3 linked regions of the Nothobranchius furzeri genome follow. The protein of the gene in region 3 binds, or shares a complex with, the protein of the main gene of each other region. Links are inferred from orthologs where the notes say so. Each region holds a gene or a part of one and is shown on either strand. Other genes may lie near its edges.

Evidence for each region.
Region 1: flcn (region 3) and lamtor2 share a complex: the UniProt entries of both Homo sapiens proteins name them as parts of the lysosomal folliculin complex. The link is inferred for Nothobranchius furzeri from reciprocal best matches to the Homo sapiens genes FLCN and LAMTOR2.
Region 2: flcn (region 3) and lamtor5 share a complex: the UniProt entries of both Homo sapiens proteins name them as parts of the lysosomal folliculin complex. The link is inferred for Nothobranchius furzeri from reciprocal best matches to the Homo sapiens genes FLCN and LAMTOR5.

Annotation. Positions count from the first base shown.
Region 1 is NC_091745.1:61,225,411-61,229,056, forward strand, and holds lamtor2 (ragulator complex protein LAMTOR2), read right to left. Parts: upstream 2,655-3,646; 5' UTR 2,438-2,654; coding exon 2,370-2,437; intron 1,908-2,369; coding exon 1,745-1,907; intron 1,660-1,744; coding exon 1,570-1,659; intron 1,008-1,569; coding exon 951-1,007; 3' UTR 509-950; downstream 1-508. UniProt on the Homo sapiens protein: As part of the Ragulator complex it is involved in amino acid sensing and activation of mTORC1, a signaling complex promoting cell growth in response to growth factors, energy levels, and amino acids.
Region 2 is NC_091755.1:27,982,401-27,986,153, forward strand, and holds the start of lamtor5 (ragulator complex protein LAMTOR5), read left to right. Parts: upstream 1-1,197; 5' UTR 1,198-1,304; coding exon 1,305-1,339; intron 1,340-1,419; coding exon 1,420-1,481; intron 1,482-3,021; coding exon 3,022-3,139; intron 3,140-3,753. UniProt on the Homo sapiens protein: As part of the Ragulator complex it is involved in amino acid sensing and activation of mTORC1, a signaling complex promoting cell growth in response to growth factors, energy levels, and amino acids.
Region 3 is NC_091745.1:76,768,852-76,772,604, forward strand, and holds the start of flcn (folliculin), read right to left. Parts: upstream 2,628-3,753; 5' UTR 2,421-2,627; intron 2,303-2,420; coding exon 2,096-2,302; intron 1,762-2,095; coding exon 1,615-1,761; intron 1,529-1,614; coding exon 1,307-1,528; intron 1,202-1,306; coding exon 1,035-1,201; intron 938-1,034; coding exon 846-937; intron 1-845. Other genes in the region: leng9 (leukocyte receptor cluster member 9), read left to right, coding at 3,109-3,214. UniProt on the Homo sapiens protein: Multi-functional protein, involved in both the cellular response to amino acid availability and in the regulation of glycolysis.

The sequences.
Region 1 (3,646 bases), about 16 Mb from region 3:
ATTAAAATTTTTATTTTGAAAGCTGAGACTTTCTTTATCTGGCTGCAGGTGAGAAAGTATATTTGATGCTAATGCCTCAAGAGAAAATCACTAACTGGTATCAATTAAAACTCATTAGTTGATTAAATGGAGTTAAACAGAATGCACATGCACTCGTGAGTTTTCTTAGCTTTTAAGTTACCCAGATCTTCTGACTTATTAAAAAAGGTTTTGTTTTTAAAGTATTGGATACTGAAAGAGTGAAAAGTTTCATCAGATTTTTGTGAAATCTGTGATTACTGAAAGAAATAAAATTATCTGGTGATGAAACTCAAAGACAAGCAAGGTAAGCTTCTCTAAACCCGCAAATTCTCCCTTTCACAAGATTTTCAGAGCAAATTTAAGTTTATCTCACCTGATACTGCATATTTAAAATTGTTTAAAAACGTTCAGAGGTGTATACGAGGGTGAAACACACCCAACCGTCACCAGCTCAAAGCAGGATTTAAAAGAATGGGTGACTCTGAGCCAGTATCTCTCATTTATCAAACAACCTTGACATAAAACACAAGTAAATAACAATCTCAACTGCATTTTTCAGAAAGATTCATATAAAATCTCCACACACGTTTTTATCATGATGTACATCTGTGACTCCTAAAAATGTTCAGTTTCACATTGAACAACAAAACTATGACCGAATGGACCGATTCCAAGTGAAAACTGAAAATGGAATCACATTTCAGCTGTACACACACACACACACACACACACACACACACACACACACACACACACACACACACACACACACACACACACACACACACACACACACACACCCCTCCATTTAGAGACATGGCCCTTTGTACACTTAGTGTTGGACAGGAGGGTTACAGCAGTCCACCGATGACCTGAACAGCTGATTTCTTCTTCAGTTCAGACCAACAGAAGCGTTGGTCGGATCTTCACTACGATGCGGCCACTTGAGTCAACGGTTCCTCCAGATACTGAACCAGAGCCTCTGCCTACAAACACAATAAAGCACAATTACTGGAAAAGATTAAATCTGGTACGACCTTTAAACTGATCAGAAACTTCAGCCTCAGTTCAGATTTAGCTGGGTTCTCCATGAGCTGCTCTAGCTGGACAAACCTGATGAACCTCATCCACGTGCCTCCCTGGGTCACTCTAAAGGACTTCCTGTTTTAAACAGTGGAACAGAAGTCTAGAACCACTCAGCACATTCCTCAGAAATACTAAAAGTGGTTTAATCTGTGTTTAAATGATTAGTTTCAAATGATTTGCACATTCAATGGTTTATTTAATGATCTGCCCTTACATTTTAGCCCTTTAAGTATAAAACGTTTTAGTTAAGACTTACGTTTAATATATGTGAACAGAATATGTCAATAGAAAGTGTTGAAAGGGTTAAAAGCAAAGTTAAAAGCAGTTTTCTTTGCCATCCAAACAACTGTTGTAAAATAATGCTTTAAACTCAATTGACAGAAGAGCTCCAACACATAAAATCTTTACCAATAAAAAGCAAAACGTGGGAAACAATTAGAAGAAAAGGCCCCGAACTCTCACCTTGGCTTTCAGCATCCCGAATCCCACAGTCTCTTTGGCATATATGCACAGCAGCAGGTTGGCTACACGAGTGATGGCCACTCTTCCCTCCTTAAAAAAAAACAAATACACAGAAGAAGGTTACAATTTGAGGTCAGCCTAATGTTTTAGCCTGAATCGGAGCTGTGTTTCTCACCATACAGTCCATGAGGATGAAGGTAAGCTTGTCTTCGTTGAAGGCTTGGTGGCCATTCTTGTCGTAAGCTGCCCAGATGTTGCTGGCGATGGCAGCTGTTACGCGTGCATCGGTATCTCCATAACCAGAGTAAGCCAGGAGGGAACCTTCATTATTCAGCAAGCTGAGAGGATAAACACGTGACACATACTAAGACAGCCTACTCATAAGTTATCTGTGTTGTTAGAAATAATCTTGATGTATGTTTAGATGGTGCAGCTAATGCCTCATCATACAATTAACATTTAGAAAGGTTGACTATTTTAGACACTAATGTGTAAATTAGAAATATTTTATAAATCATCTCATTGAAATTGATCATTATAAACCGAGGTATTTGTTAGGATCTGTTGCAACAGCGTTCTAATCTGTGACATTATAAAAACAGCTACGATAAAAATCATTAAATGCGCAAGTTTTACATTCAAATAACTAAAATTATGTCTTTTAAGCATTAAGAGTTCCCAAAAAACAACGCTTATTTTTCTTTGGGCGAGCTTTCCTTGTACAAAAAACGATAAGCAGCTAAGAGTCAGAGTAAATAGCATCTTAGCATCTCGTTAGCTTGTCGCTAACTCGTACTTACAGAGTGCTCTGGACTCCGTTTGTGTTCGCTTGGCTGAGGACCTGCGTCAGAGCTTTGGGTCGCAACATCGCTGTCGACCTCACCAAAGAATAAAAACGGTTTTAATAATAATAAGAAAAAAACACGAAGTATTTTGATAGTATGTTGATGTACGTGAAGAGCAATGCGTCCAGGCAGTCAGCTGACTTGTCTTTCCGCATTTCCGGCTTCCTTCGCATTGCACTTTGGGAAATGTTGTCTCGCGGTCGTAACTAAAAAGGATTTTCATTGGCCGTGCTCGAGTTGATGGCCTCGCCTGGAAAACAGACGAGAGCAGACGGAAGCAGCAGGGGGAGTGGCTGAAAGCCGGCGTTTAGGTCGGACACAATTTCCTGCATGTGTAGGATGGCTGAAGATATCGCGTTAGAGTTACTTGTTTAATTTTCAATTTTAATTCTGGTGCCTGTTAGCAGCTGAAACACATCCTCACGTGCTTGTGGATATCATGTATTGTATATGAAGACATGATTGTAATAATAAGCAGTGTTGGGAACGTTACTTTAAAAAAGTAATTAGTTATAGTTACTGATTACTTTGTCAAAAAAGTAACTCAGTTACTAACTGAGTTACAAGATCATAAAAGTAACTAATTACCAACAAAAGTAACTACTTAGTTACTTTTTTCATTAAAGAATGCAAGAATTACTACAATAGTAAAATATAAATGACTAATGACTGAACATAATAAAATGTATGTCCAAATGTTTTATATAAACCTGAATAATTTAAACAAATATGCACTTAACAGGAGGAACTACTAATAGGAACATTACACTAATCTAGACTATTAAAAGGTCACTGTGTGATATTTAACAAGACCCCAATCAGCTAAAATTTAAAATTGCAAATAGAAACACCTGTAAAGGTTCCCGAGCCTTTAAATGGTCTCTCAGTCTAGTTAAATTACAGAAATAAATGTAATTTTGCACAGTATTCTAATTTTTCCAGCTTCACATAATTGTGTGTTTTTAGCAGCATTTCTGTTGCTGCTAATCTAGTAACGGTTAAATAAATAAATAAATATCCTTTAAAATGACACTAGAAGAGGCACAGATCTGATGGAGGACTTACATTTACTAACTTGGGTCAGACCCAACCACAGAAGAGCTGAAGCTGGGTGGTGAACACACACAGTTCTGATAACACCTGAGCTCCATGACGTCTGAGACTGATGCATCAGTGTTACAGCGGGACTAAAGACATGATCAGAAACAGGTTACAGCTGGATGATCTAGGAA
Region 2 (3,753 bases), on a different chromosome or scaffold from region 3:
CAGTCTGATGGCCTGATGGAAAAAGCTGTCTCTCAGTCTGCTGGTTCTGGACCGGATGCTGCAGAACCTCCTTCCTGATGGAAGTAGTCTGAACAGTTTATGGCTGGGGTGACTTGAGTCCTTGATGATCCTCCCCGTTTTCCTCAGGCACCGCTTCTTATAGATGTCCTGGAGGGAGGGAAGCTCACCTCCAATAATCCTTTCTGCACACCGCACTACTCTCTGGAGAGCTTTGCGGTTGTAAGCGGTGCTGTTGCCATACCAGGTGGAGATGCATCCAGTGAGGATGCTCTCAATGGCACAGCAATAGAAGGTCCTGAGGATACGGTGGCTCATGCCAAATCTTTTCAGTCTTCTGAGAAAGAAGAGGCGCTGCTGTGCCTTCTTCACTGTATTTTCCGTGTGCACTGACCACGTAAGATCCTCTGCCAGGTGAACTCCAAGGAAACGGAAACTGCTCACCCTCTCCACAGCGTCGCCGTTGATGGTGATGGGGGGGTGTATTCCTCTGCTTCCTCTGCTCCTCCGGAAGTCCACTATCATCTCCTTTGTCTTTGTGACGTTGAGGGTGAGACTGTTGTCCTGACACCAGTGGGTCAGGGCGCTGATCTCCTCCCTGTAGGCCGTCTCATCGTGATTGGTGATGAGACCTATCACTGTGGTGTCGTTCGCATACTTCACAATGATGTTGGAGTTTCTCGTGGCCGTGCAGTCGTAGGTGTAGAGTGAGTACAGGAGAGGGCTCAGCACACACCCCTGCGGTGCACCAGTGTTCAGTGTGACGGGGGATGAGGTGGTGCCGCCCATAACATTATTATTATTATTATTATTATTGGAAAATTTAATAAAACTTGAAGGAAAATGCTAATTCTTTCTATCTATCTATCTATCTATCTATCTATCTATCTATCTATCTATCTATCTATCAATCTATCAATCTATCTATCTATCTATCTATCTATCATCTATCTATCTATCTATCTATCTATCTATCTATCTATCTATCTATCTATCTATCTATCTATCTATCTATCTATCTATCTATCTATCTATCTATCTATCTATCTATCTATCTATCAATCATCTATCTATCTATCTATGCCTATTTTGTTTATGTAATGTAAATGGAAAGATTTTGCGTTCTCTCTCTCTCTCTCTCTCTCTCTCTCTCTCTCTTTCTCTTTCGCGTCACACTTTTTGGTCCTCGTTGTGACTCGTAGCGCACGTGACGGTCAGCTGACTCTAACCGGAAACGTCGATGAAACTGTAAACAATTAAACCTTCTCTCTTTTCGTTTGTTAACGATGGAGTCGACTCTTGAACAGCATCTCGATGACACGTACGTTAAAAATCTCACTCTAACTGCTGACGTACTTCACTTTTTGTTTCATTAAAGCCTTTCTCCTTGTTTTTTTGTAGCATGAAGAATCCAGCAGTTGTCGGTGTGCTCTGCACAGATCACCAAGGACACAACCTGGGCTGTAAGATTAATTTAAAAAAGATTTACAGCAAAATGTATGAAACATATTCGGTTTAGTTAGCTTTTACAAGGCTACGTCAGTGTCGTGTTCTTTTTTTTTTGAATAATGAAATAACTTAGTTGCAGCAAAAGCTATTAATGTAACACACAAATAATATTATTTCCTTCAGTTTAGCTATTTTCATCTGTAAAGGTTGAAATACATACTACAGTATAGTTGAAGTTACTGTGAATCATACATTTCAACCATTAAAATCTCAACTTATTTCACATGCCAGAAAATCTTCACAGTGTTTGCACTGTTAGCATAATGAGATTAGCATTTCTGATGGAATGAGCTCTTCTGGCTGTTTAACAGGTCAACAGGAAGCTGCTGTAATTAAATTTAATCACAAAGGCTAATGAGGTATAATTAAAATTAAAATGTAATGTTTTTATAATTCTCTAAACACAACCAATCCAAAATGATGCTTATAATTGTTTATTGTTGATTATTACTCATAAACTAATAAATACTAAATGCTTAATAACCACGCAGTTAGTTAGTGAGGTCATTTATGAACATTATTCACATACAACAATTACTGTCATTGGGAAAGTGAATACTCCGTGGAATTGATTCTGTGTTACTTGTTTGGCTTCCATGGTTTAGTTTGAACTTTGATCTCTTCTACAATTCATCAAACTTCAGGGAGATGAACATGCTCTAAATTTTACTTAGGCTGTGAATTCAGAACATATCCAGTCCATTTTCATCAGCTGTGCAATGAAACACAAAGCAGAACAACTGATGATAATATAAAGTAATTATTTTACTTCCCAGAGGACTCCTGCAGCAGCTGACAGGTATCATGTGGTCTGAAGAATCACAGCTTGACGGTTGCTGGAGCATAGAACTTGCTGGAGGGGCTGTCTGCCCTCTAGCTGTCTTGATGGAGATGGAGAGTCACTGAGATCAGAGAAATCTGAGCTTCGCTCCTGGACCTGTTAGCAACCCAGACTTTGATAATTGGAAGAAAAATGATGGATATATCAGTATATATATTTTTTCTGTTCGGTTTAATTAATATTTATAACAGAGGCATCCAGCAAAGTCTAAGCTCTTTGTTAGCGTCCTCATACTTTTATTATCTTTTTAGGTCTTGTTGAAAGTTATTTTGAAAAGGTTATGATGTAACTGTTGGAAGTGGGTAAACATGAGTATTGTTTTGTGTAGTCAGTAGCAATGTTTCCCTGGTACATGGACAAACCTAAATGAAATAGTCAAAAGATGCAGAAGACAGAAACCAAACAATGAGTTCAACATGATTCAGATCCTCGAGAGACCCCAGAATTCAGAAATCCTCAGTCTGGACTAAATAACAGCAGTGGGACAGAAATGTTTGTAATATGTTAACAATCCTTCATAAGGAGGTCATTGTTGTATACAGGTTTGGAATTAACACAAATCACAGAAAATGACTGTTTGAAAGATGCACTGATTTCCTTTTTTTAAGACATTTAAATAATTCATTGCGTGTTTCTTTTCTTTTTTCTTTTAGGTCGTGGCTCCTTGTCTGATGAACATGGTGGTGTTGTGTCTGTTTTGTCCAAACAAGCTATGGCGCTCACCAGAGACCCAACAGTCACCCCGACCGTGTGCCTGGAGTCTGAGTCAGGGTGAGAGCACTGACCGGGTTTTAGCTTGACTTGTAATTCTTTTTAAAAATCTATCTCGGGGTATTTAAGATGTACCTTTGGGGGTTCTGATTAATGTGTACGGAGATCAATTACTCTAAAAAAAGCTTTTTGAGAGAGATCAGAACCAGAGACTCAGGGTTCTGAATCTGATCCAGTGGTTCACTGTCTCCCAGCAGCTATTAGCATCCGGGTCCGAGCCTTCATCGCGGTTGCTAAAACCAGTACGCTTATCTGGTTCCTCCAGTTTCTATTTACTTACCAAAGGCAATGCCATTTGTGACTTTGAACTGAACATGCTCGGTTCTTGGCATTAGATTCCAGAATGTTGTTCATTTCTTTCCCAAAAGGCAGCTGAGATATTTTCTTGAGACTCCAAGCCCTTTTTAATTTCCCCTAATAACCTCGTAGACATTTAAATAACCCCATCATCATTAAAAACGGGTCCAAAGTTGAACTACAGAATAAAAAATTAAAAAGCCAATGTCCTCTTTAGTGGACGGAGGCTCCATGGAGGATGGAGAGGGAGGAAGTCAACCAACTGTGGGATTTTATTTATGTCGTTGTGCTGCCATCTTCTGGTAAATGAACATCTC
Region 3 (3,753 bases):
GGGGATGGGTCAAATGCGGAGAATAAATGTCACACACATACCTGTGTGTGTGACAACTAATGGGACTTTAACTTTGACTTTAAAAGAATAATAGATGTCTGCGCCGTTGCTAGACGCCATTTTTTAACTACAGCGTTGCATGGTACAGTCGGCATGTACGTCTTTTTTCTCATTGGTTATTTTTGAGCTGTCTAGTCCCGCCCCTCAAGTGCCTCTCCGCCTGTGAGTTACCAGACTCTTTGTGCAGAATTAAACAGAGGACGAGTCTGGCCGGCCAGGCTAGCTATCATCTACATTACCAGACAAATATTTGAGATCACTTGAAAATATCATGTTTCTTTCTGCTGCGTGCCAGAACCCTGTTGCGCTGATCTGGGAACAGCTGGCCCATAGGGTATATGGGGGGGGGGGGGGGGGGGGGTCGCATTAGATAATCTGCTAGAAGGAGACACCCAGGAATGTCTGTGGGCTGCCAGGCTGTGACTACTGCAAAGCTGCTCTGTGGTTTTTGAAGAAAACATTGATCATTTCCATTAAATGATTTAGAATCATGTAAAAAAAAGGTTTTTGTTTGGACATTTATTTTTATTTTTTATCAATGAACAAAGTTCATTCCACAGTCGTGTCTGGGCCGAGCCCCAAAAATTCTCCAAAAGTCTTTTAATCACTTTCTAAATCTCGACAAACCGGGGTTTAACTGTGAAGTGGTGTGTCATGTTTTCCTGGATCAAATGCCTTTCCCGATCGACTCTGTGATTCACTCTTACGGATTTCAGGCTGACTAGTTGAACAAACAAAAACACTAGCCATAGCAGTGAATGTCTGATGAAATCATGTCTTTCTACCTGTTTTTCTCTCAAGAAGAACCAGCGTGTCCTCTGTTGGGGCTCCTTCAAGGAGCTTTTCTGTCAGACGACAACCACAGGCTTTCAGTAACCTAAAAAGGAAGTGAAAACACACATCAGCTTGGTAAGTCATAAAAGTAACGTGGAGAAATCACAATGGCTGGCTATTAAAAGTCTATCTCAACTCACCAGCTGAAGGAGCAATGCAGGCTGGCCCAGAGATTGGGATGCTGAGTGAGAGAAGTTAGCGATCGGGCTGCGTTGCCACTTCTTTGATGTGGAAAAACCGCAGGAGAAAACACGCTGTTCATCCTCAGAGCTCGCTGGGGACAAATACCCTGTTCAGTGTCAAACACCTGATGGACAAAAAGATGGCAAAACAGCACAAACTGACTTATTAAAATGACAAAGTGTTTGTCCAGTAAAAAAAAATGAATGCACAGTCTACATTTAGGCTCTACCTTTAGAGCTGTGCTTTGCAGACTTTGTATAGTGAGTTTGAGGTGTCGTAACAGGAAAGGCCAGGAGTTGATGAGGTAGATCCTGTCCATGGCCACTACAACTATACTGTACCAGCGCTGAAACCCACGGGCCAGGCTGTCCTTGATGAAGAACGTGTGTGAGAACACAAACCCGTGTTGTTCATCACCGAAAAAGATCGGCCCTTCACGTCCAGGGCACACCTGAAACCCAACAACAAAAAGACTCGCGTTTTTGGAGGAGGGGAGGTTAGAAAAGGTCCTCCTCAGTTAGATCAGGTAGAGTTTACCTCACAGCTGAGACTGCGTACACAAGCCTGACGAACTACACTGAAAAGCTGAGACTGTCTGGGGTGCTGATGGCTCACAAAGCGAATTCCTGTTTCATCATCGATGCTCACGAAGCCTGGGTGAGACGCAGGTAGAGATCGGCATCCCTGTGAGGCATGGACAGGAGGGAAAAGGAGAACTTCGATTACAGGATTATTAAATAATGTTGCTGCTCTATCTTCTTAAACCATAATGAGTTGTGGCGGGTGGCTGCTCATACTGAGCCTGGCTCTTCTGGGGCTAAAAGGGAGTTTTCCACTCCACTGTCGCTACACACTTGCTTAGTGTGAGCACTGCAATCTGCTGAGTTCCTTTGTATAGAAATGTTTACTATGTGAAGTGACTTGAGACGACTGTTGTCGTGACTATAAATAAACTGAATTGAATGAACCTTCTCCAAGGTTTACTGTGGGTGAGATCCCATCACGCATGCCCACTCACCTCACACATCTCCCCTCTTTGAGACACAGACCCGCTGGCCCTCATGGTCAGACCTTCACCCTCCCGATCAGCATCTCTGTCCCCTGGAACCGGGGTGCCCACCTGAGAGGAGGGGTCTGGGGATGGAGGGTGTAGCGCCTCGGTACAGAATAGTGTCCGAGGGCCATGGAGCTCACAGAAGTGACACAAAGCTACCAGAGCATTCATCTGAGAAACGGATCAAGCGTTTATGAGAATCTAATCAACGTAATTTATGACATAGTTTTTATTCACAAGCTAACACCCGTTTAAGCCATTTTAACCAGCAGCAACGAGAGGATCTCACCTTTAGCACTGAGAGTTAGACTGGAGCTCGCTGCTGCTTCACTCGTTTGTGTTAAAAATGTATAAACAACAAAAGCGTGACGCTAAATCAAATATTTCGTCTACATGTCTCGTATAAAACGCGCGAATTCAAGAGAATAAATCCTCTCAGCACTTTCTCGTCTCAGTCTCGAGTTGTTAGCAAACAGCACAGTCACGTGACCTCGAGTCACGCGCTCGGACACAAATCATGACGTACGTCACGGAGTTGATTAAGTTTAATCATAATTACTATTTTATGATTTATTTAAAATAAAATAATGTCGTCTGTGAGCAGATAGTTTTCATATGGGAAAATGTGTTGCTAGCATTTGACTTTACGAAGCGTGTTTCGTCGAAAGACAACATAAAACTACATTACCCAGAGTTAAGTTCGAGGAGGGTAAAGGTTACGAATGAGTTGGTCAGCGTTTCTCTAGAGTGCTAAAAAGTACGGAGCTACAGAGGACCGTGTGGTAATGTACTTTTAATAAATATAAAACACCATTTCTTAAAACGTTTGTATTTGTGATTTAAATGTAATTAACATTGTATAATGTTGAATTTACAGCATGTGTGTTTACTTTATTAGCTCATCAGTAACTTCCGTGTTTCATTGTAAAGGAAAAGGCAAAGCCCAACAGGGACGTAGGAGCCTTTCTGAACTGGGAATGGCGTCAGACGGATCAGGAGTTCCCCCAGAATCCGCAGTGGACGGTGGAGGGACCCCCCCAGCTGAAACTAAAAGTAGGAAAGATGCCCAACAAGCCACGAGAGGTAAATGCCTGTTTTAGTGTTTGTCTTTTCTCATGTCTGTCATTCTCTCTCTCTCTCTCTCTCTCTCTCTCTCTCTCTCTCTCTCTCTCTCTCTCTCTCTCTCTCTCTCTCTCTCTCTCTCTCTCTCTCTCTCAATATATGTATATTTATATGTATATAAATATAAAAAAATCTGTATTTCTCTCTCTCTCGCCGTCTTTCTTCCCTGTGTCTACCCACCTGCCAGTCATGTTGGTCAGATTTGGTTCTGTTGTCTGAGTGAGCCTCCAGTGACTTGGCCATCTTCACCACAAGTTGCAGTCACTTCCTGTTGCTCTACAGATGCATCTTGTCAGTAGGTCACTGGTAATGGTGACAAGGATGGAGAGGGGACTTTTCAACCACAGCCTTCTGCTGAAGTGACTCTTCTGCAGTCATGTGTGGTGTAGAGTTGAGCAGAGATGCTCAGTGTGGTAGCCCCCTAACCATCTCCACATTCCAAGTGGTCGAAACAGGAAGATCTAGCAAACAATGGCTCTGAACTAGCAATGCAACTGCTT